Oryzias latipes: one gene and its partner. The protein of the gene in region 1 purifies or fractionates together with the protein of each later gene. This does not show direct contact. Links are inferred from orthologs where the notes say so. Each region holds a gene or a part of one and is shown on either strand. Other genes may lie near its edges.

The links. The genes of interacting proteins can lie anywhere in the genome.
Region 2: the proteins of tmem9b (region 1) and clcn3 purify together in Homo sapiens (co-immunoprecipitation; 3 studies listed by BioGRID and IntAct, counting the BioPlex papers as one, with this or other methods). This does not show direct contact. The link is inferred for Oryzias latipes from reciprocal best matches to the Homo sapiens genes TMEM9B and CLCN3.

Annotation. Positions count from the first base shown.
Region 1 is NC_019861.2:19,775,369-19,779,651, forward strand, and holds the start of tmem9b (transmembrane protein 9B), read right to left. Parts: upstream 2,824-4,283; 5' UTR 2,673-2,823; coding exon 2,598-2,672; intron 1,573-2,597; coding exon 1,481-1,572; intron 1,402-1,480; coding exon 1,293-1,401; intron 791-1,292; coding exon 656-790; intron 1-655. Other genes in the region: scube2 (signal peptide, CUB and EGF-like domain-containing protein 2), read right to left, coding at 4,275-4,283. UniProt on the Homo sapiens protein: Enhances production of pro-inflammatory cytokines induced by TNF, IL1B, and TLR ligands. Has a role in TNF activation of both the NF-kappaB and MAPK pathways.
Region 2 is NC_019876.2:18,924,812-18,928,463, forward strand, and holds part of clcn3 (H(+)/Cl(-) exchange transporter 3), read right to left. Parts: intron 3,569-3,652; coding exon 3,362-3,568; intron 3,279-3,361; coding exon 3,198-3,278; intron 3,101-3,197; coding exon 2,848-3,100; intron 1,510-2,847; coding exon 1,217-1,509; intron 1,136-1,216; coding exon 949-1,135; intron 841-948; coding exon 442-840; intron 355-441; coding exon 138-354; intron 1-137.

The sequences.
Region 1 (4,283 bases):
ATACTCATTGGTGCCTAGTCCATCCCTGAGGCAAAAAATTGAGTCCCGTCGATGTAAAACTTTTCCATTTTAAACCAAAGATAATGTGATGTGATTCACAGCAGCACAGTAGTAAGAGGTTCTGGATGTGAGTCCAGGAAATGCTCCAAGCTTGGCCAGATTGCTGGAGGCAGTCCTTAAGTGAACGCAACACAGTATCTAAATGTATAGATGACACACTTTCCAGTTTCACCACAATTCTACAGAACTACTGCCGCAATCTGAGCCAATGTTGCTAGAATATCGCATTTAATTTTTTGTAAAATCTGCATGAAAATAACATATTTTGGTAAATTACAGTGCATGCAAAGGAGTCCAAACTTGTTAGAGGGCAACCTAATTACATTTCTTTGCATGATTGCACAGATTTCTATTTCTCAGAGCCTCCCAAGGAGTGGGAAAGTACGGCACTGATTTACAAGAGCTTGTTAAATTTTACTCGTACTGCATGAAAAACTTCCACGTGATGGTTGGTGCAAAGGGAGAACATTTACTGATCAAGTCTTGTGACTATGACCATTCAAAGTATCAAACCTGCTAAAATTCACAGAAAAAAAAAATTAAACAACTATACATATTGCCCTTGAGACTCCTGAATGTTGCTAGGAACACTTACCCCAGCATCATCGTCACTTTGGATAAGCTGCGAGTGTCCAAACAGCCGCCTCTTCAACATGGGCTCCAGCAGAGTCAGGTACACCATGTAGAGCAGTAGCAGGCCCAAAATGGACAGGTACATGATGATGGTAAACTAAATACATGAGAAGGGAGAACAAAAAACATACTCAGAAATCATAGCATGCCTCACATTTAACGTTGAGCAAGTATTTTCCATAACCTTGAATTTGATCAAATTAAACTTCTTTATATATTTATATTTAACTATAAATATAAATACTTTTCATACAAAAGTAGTGCAAAGTCAGAAACTGTCACATATAAAAAATAAAATACCCCTGTTGTTTATATGCAAGATAAAAAGGGAGAATACCAGCTTTTAAAAAATCTACAAATTAGTATTTTAAAAAAAAGGAAATGTTTGCAATGTAAAGAATAATCAAAAACTTTATACATCCTTAATCTGAACCCTCTGTGTCCTAAATTGGGTCACAGGGGTTGCTGGAGTCCATCCCAGCAAACATGGGGTTAAAGGCAGAAAAGATCTACATTTTTAGGGTACATACAGAGACAAACCAGCACACACACAGTCTGAGAGACACTTTATAAAAAATAAATCAATAATCTGACTTCACCTTTATAGTCCCTGAGCTCCTCTCTTCATATTTACATTCACAGCGCAGACAGTAGGCCTCCACATCTTTGCCGTCCACTGGCATCGGTTCCACCACATGGAGGCAGTTACTTAAGAGACAAAATCATCCATATGATAAAGATTCAGCAAGGGGGGGGGGGGAACATACAATGGCATTTGGTTACATACCAGTCTTTGAGAGACACATTTTGTTTGTAGATATGTCCCTCATAGCCTCTGTAAGGTGGACAGATACACTTACAGCGAACGTCTTCGGAATTCTGTAAAAGTTACGTCAAGCAGGTGTTTAAGTTTTAAATGCAGCAGTCGATTGAACTCAGACATTTGTTTTGACATGTTTGTGTGATGTTATCACAGCAGCTTTAAGAATATCAAAAAATTAAGTTTATAACTTGTAGTTTACCAAAAAATAGATTTGCAAAGCAATAACAGGATAAAATAATACAACTGAAGTAATTACTATTTATTGAAATAGTTCAAAATCTTGCTAAAATAAAAATCTTGGATCTTAAAGATTTTTAATGTAAAAATGAGTGTTTTCCTAAGACTGCATGGTGGCTTTAGATCTTCTTAGCTAAAACCAACGATGTTCTGGAATAATTACATACACAGTATGAGTTTCTATGATGAAACAACATGCTGCCAAAAGAAATCAAAAGACTTGAGACTAAAAACACAGGAATCCAGCTTCCAGGTACATAACACCAAAGTAGCAACAAAAAAAGTTTCCAAAATAATAGTTCTGATGGATGTTGGCAGCATTTCTGTTTCGCTTTGGTGTACCTGTTTATGTTTTTATTATTATTCTTCTGACATATAAATGTAGTTTTGAAATAGCAAAGATTCCCTTTAATGTCTGCTTTTATGAAAGAAAAAGGGGGGACAGTTGTTTTCTGGCGTTTGCTGTGTTTAATAAAGGTAGATTTTCTGTAACTCGGTAGAGAAGGAAAAAAATGTTCAACTGATCAGAAATAGCACATTTATTAACATTTTAGTAAGGAAGTCTTAACAGAAATTAATCATGACAACATTTTTATCTCTATCTATCTATCTATCTATCTATCTATCTATCTATCTATCTATCTATCTATCTATCTATCTATCTATCTATCTATCTATCTATCCATCTATCTATCTATCTATCTATCTGACCAAGCACGCGAGCAACAAAAAGGGGAAGGTGTCTGTCGCTGACAGAATTTTAAGACGTGTAATTCCTGTTTAGTAAGCTACTCGCCCATGTTTTGTGTGCTGTCAGCTAGCATTAGCCTAGCATTAGCCTTACCTTTGCTGCTGCTGCTTGGCTCAGCAGCACCAAACACGCCAAACACGCAGCCTCGGCAGCTAACACCAGCTTCATCGTCGCAGTAACTCAAACCCTGCTGGACTCTTTTTGCGGGACAAAGGAGAAAAGACGAATGCACCCTAAGAAACGACGCCGTCCGCCGTAGAGCCAAGTAGAGGATAAGCAGATTCTACATCAGCTGACTTGTCATTTCCGGAAATAGAGGCTCACTTCCGCAAACATTAAGACGCGGACATTTGAAATATTACATTTTTTTTTATTTCAAGAACTATTGAGGTTTACAATTTGTCTTTTGAATTTGAAACATGACATATTTAGGGGATTTTAAAAATATTTTTACTTTGTACTTATTAGTTTCTATGTTTTTATATAAATCATGTTTGTTAAACTGCCATGATCATGTACGAAAAATACAACAGAATGAGATGGAGATCTAAAATGACTGACGACAGCCGTCTAAACCCGTCTTCCACTTAAAGGGTTTATTTATTTTGGTGAAAATTTTACAAAGTACTGCTTATTTTTAAAGAAGTAACTTTAAAAAGTATCTTGCACACAACACAGATTTACTACATATTTATTTTTAAAAAAAGTCATCACATTTGAAGCAAAGTTTTTAATAATTGTCTAAAATAAAAAAAAGCTTAACCTTAACTGATTTTGTTTTTTATGTTTAATTTGTTACTTGGTCTATTTTTTGTGCTGCATAAGCTTTCCTATATTTGTATTTTCTTTAAAAAATGCACCTTGTTTTGGCTAAATAATGTGTTGCAAGTTAAATCAAGTAATGATTTATTTGGTGTTTTTCTTAAGCAGACAAATATAGACAAACAGTTGCATACTAAACTCTAATGTCAAATGAAATTTGTGCACACTAAACAATAAGGTTCTTTTCTGGTAATTAAGGAAATGATGAATATGAGTCCTATCTTTATTTACAATTTTATTAGATGTACAAAACCATAAAATATACATACACATCGCATCTAAGATGGGTCAGTAGCTCAGCAGCATTTTACAGGACTTTTCATAGAAACAGACATGACATGCTTTAGTATCTCAGGGTGTCTACAGAAGCATCTTTGACTGACGTGAAAGCAGATAATAGCTGGAAAAGCTTAGGGGTTTATAGAACCATTACGTTTATCCAGACACCTTGGAAAACCAAACACATGGGTCATCAACATCTGTAGCTAAAACTCTCAACACTTTTTTTACATCATATACAATACAGTCATCAAAATAAATGCTTTTGTGGCGAGACTACCTCTTTTCAGTGCTAGTGTTCCCAAGAAAACAGTTGTGCTGTATTAGTTTCTTACATTTTGCAGTACTTCTGTCATAAATGCATCAAATCCAGTAAAATAAGGCTGTTAAAACTAGATATACAATCTATGTACAGTACCATTGACATTCAATATATGTCTGTTCGCCCACCAAGTTTGTCTCTCCTTGTGGTGCAATAGATTAAAGTCCCATTCTGTCAGCATGTATTCAGCACTCCTGAAATTAAGGTATGTACTTCAGTCCTGCGCTGACGTTTCAATAGCTTTTTTAATTTTACTTAAGGGATTTGCTTTGATTTGTTTTTCATATTCGTCGACATGACATCCAACCAATCTGTGTGACAGTCCCTTGAAAATCCTGGTGCAGCATTTATGGGCG
Region 2 (3,652 bases), on another chromosome or scaffold:
AGCCAGTTCATGCAGGATCAGAGAGCCCATGCAACACAATGTGTACATGTGTTTGTGAGCCTCCCATCGGGTAGAATGTGAGACGAGGGCGTGAGGGATCCTTCAGCACGTCCTACCCTTCAGAACAATAAACTTACCCGTTGTGTGTGACTAGGCACTGGCGCAGCCCCAGCTTTCTGAAGATGTCTACCACAATCTCCATGGGGGTGTGGTCAGTGACCGTGAAGGGGCTCATGTCCAGTATGGAGCGCAGTTTGAGGGGCCGAGGGCTGTCAGCAGGCAGTGAAGGCGCATGCTGGGTAAAGTACACCCTGGAGTTAAGTAAAATGCCTTCCTGTTTCCGACGAGCGTTTTCTATAAAGATTTATAAAAAGAAAACAAAGGTAACTTTTTCAAAAATCTTGGATTTTGTATGTTTTGTATGCTTTTCTCCTCCCCTACCTATAGCAATGGTGATGTCCCTGCGCAGAGCAAAGCCCACCAACCTCTGCGACTCCTTGGACACTATGACTGGGAAACCATTGTAACTGGTTTCATTGATGACACTCTGCAGCTCTTCCACCGTCAGGTCATCCTGAGTCAGGACTGCCAAAGGCGGGTCGTTGCGCCGCGGTCTCATCACCTCTCTGGCTAGCGTGGTGTGTGTAAACTCCTCTTTGGCATCCAGGAACGGGTATCCGTTCAGGCGAATGTGAGCCTCGTAGATCCCTTCTCGGCCAAACGCGTCGCCCACCCATTTGCTGGTCATGACGGCTGCCATGAGGGGGACGATGTACTCCAACCCACCCGTCAGCTCGAACACAATAACAACCAGAGAGACGGTCATACGTGTCACACCACCTACCAGGAAAGAAAATCATTCCATTTTTACATTGAGAGTCAAATTTCTCAACGATTTTCTAACTTTTTTCTCCAGTTAAACCATTACTTGGTAATTTTTGGACTTACCCAAACAGGCCGCGGCTCCCACCATGGCGTAAAGCCCTGGAGTGATGCAGTCCGCCCCCACCTCACACCATTCTTTGAACAGAAACCAGTCGTGGTGGTAATAAGCCAGCTGCTCCACGGCAATGCCAACAATTCGGCCTGCGATGGCGCCGATGGCCATGCTGGGGATGAACAAACCTGATGGTACCTGAGGATGACAGATGGTGATTGGACTTTGGGAGAGTCATGCAGGGTAAAACTATATCATACTTCTGTCTCCTGGGATCACCTTTAGCCCAAATGTGAAGATGGTCATAATGATTTTAAAAATGAGTGCCAGGCAGAGCTGCCACATGGCGGAGTAGACCCCGGGCTCCGCCGGCTGATTTGGATCGTCGGTGAAAGCTTTGCTGCCGTTCATCTGGCTGCGGTACTTGCAGAGCTGAGAAGTTTCCAGAGGGCCGCAATCGGTGAACAACTCCTTGATCAGCTCACTGGTGTTCTGACGGGTGTAAGGGTTCGGAAAAGCCACTATTGCTGTAATGGCCGCCACCAGGATCACCTCCAATACTGGGTACTTCCCTTCAAAATAAAATCCAAAGCAAGTCAGACAAATGATACACTTGCAAATCTCAGTAAATTTTGACAAAGTAATTTCCTTTAACTCACACACTAAGGGATCTCGACTGTGAACTGCTACATTTCCTCTCTCTATTAGAAAATTCTGCATTTTTTGTGCCTGTTAAGACTTTTCATTGATTTTTGTAACAACATTTTGAGGCAGATAGCTGGTCTTCCTCTGTCTACTTCCTCTGAGGTTTCAGTCGTTCCTCTCCACTGTCACCTCTTGCATGTTCAGTTTGAAGAGGGTTATGGAAGAAAATTCTTAAAGATTTTGCATAGTAAATGACTTCTATTCAAAAGAATCAAAGGTTGTTTAATTTTATGAAGTTATAGTTAAAATCCAATTAGTTGTCACACGTGTGAAATTTGTTCTTGTCCCATCCTTGTCCCATCCCCTTAGGGCAATGGTCCCCAACCTTTTTAACGCCACGGACTGCTATGACGTCAGACAAAGTTTTCACGGACCAGTCTTTAAGATGCAGCAACGCTACGACAAAGGAGGAACAGAGACGTGACAAAACGTACTTTGAACTTTTGTTTTGACACGCATGACATTGTACATCGCATAGGTGTCATCATCCTCTCCCCTTCCCCACTCTCATGGTGCTAAAAAGAAGTACTGTCTATTAAATGTAGCTTTCTTTTTTTGGAAGTCAAATGCTCCTCTTCTGTCTCCTGGCTGGACCTTTTCCCCCTTGGCACAGAAACTTTCCAAAGACGTTTGTTTTTTACTCATTTTGCTCATTTTCGCTTATTTTAGCGGTAACCTATCACGTGACCGAGAAGAGCCCCATGGCCTGCTTCAAGAGTGACATAGACGGATGGAGAAAATCGGGCAATTTTTCAACATAAAACATCTTTCAGATTCTGAAATAAATAAAACGGAATGTAAGATATTTATTCTTTCTGTGCGGCCTGGTACCAAATGACCCACGGACCGGTACCGTTCCGTGGCCTGGGGGTTGGGGACCGCTGCCCTAGGGGAGCGGTGAGCTGAAGACAAAGCTGTGCTTGGGAAACATTTGGTCGTTTAACCCCCAAATCCAACCCCTTAATGGTGAGTGTCAAGCAGTATTACATTTGGGCATGTTTATAGTCTTTGGTATGACTCAGCCATGGTTTTGAACCCTCGACCCTCCGGCCTCAGGACAGACATAAGAATAAATTAAATGTCTGATCCCTGATTGGGTTATAACATCCAATTTTCGATTGAGTCATTAACCACATCAACAGGCCCAATTTCCGTTCACGTGATCGGATTCTGACATCCCTATTAATGACAGATTGTCTTCTCACCGAAGCGCGTGGACTTGCGCCGCCGGCACCAGGCGATGTTGGCTCGGATGAAAAAGGCTCCCCAGAGCCCCCCAAAAACTCCCAGGAGAATGAAGGGAATGAGCTCAAACAGGTACCATGGTGTGTGGTACTCCACATAGAACAGCACCAGGCGGCTGTTTCCGAACGGGTTAATGGAGCGCAGGACGAAGGCCGCCACTAGGGCAGCAAAGAAGGAGCGCCACAGAGTTTTGAGTGGAAAGTAGTAACTCACCTGGATAAAAGACAGGAACATTTTTGATTGTTAAATATGCAGTTGTTAGCATAATGTTTTTTGGTTTTTTTACAATAAAGAATCAAATCTGCTGCACCTCCTCCAAACTAAAGAGAACACCTCCAATTGGTGCTCCAAAAGCAACAGACACACCAGCAGCTGATGCAGCAGAGAGGACCTGAGAAAGTGAAACACGTTAATGATGAAAAAACATGCAGCAGTAAAACGAGGGAGAATTGAAAACACCAACACACACGTTACCTCTCGTTTCTTTGCCTCGTTCTTGCTGTATTTGGGGAAGAGGTAGGAGAAGATGTTCCCACAGCAGCAGGCCACATGGACCAGAGGACCCTCTTTACCCAGGCTAAGGCCAGATGCTACAGCCAGAACCAGGGTTATGGTCTTGATCATCAGCGTCCACTTCCCCAGGTAACCCCGGATGATAAACCCACTCAGGATTGTCTTGATCTGGGGACAGAGGAGAGTGGGCAGTGAGGAGGAGCAGGACAGAGGTCAAATAAAAGCTCAAGTAGAAGGTTGAGTTTCACGTTC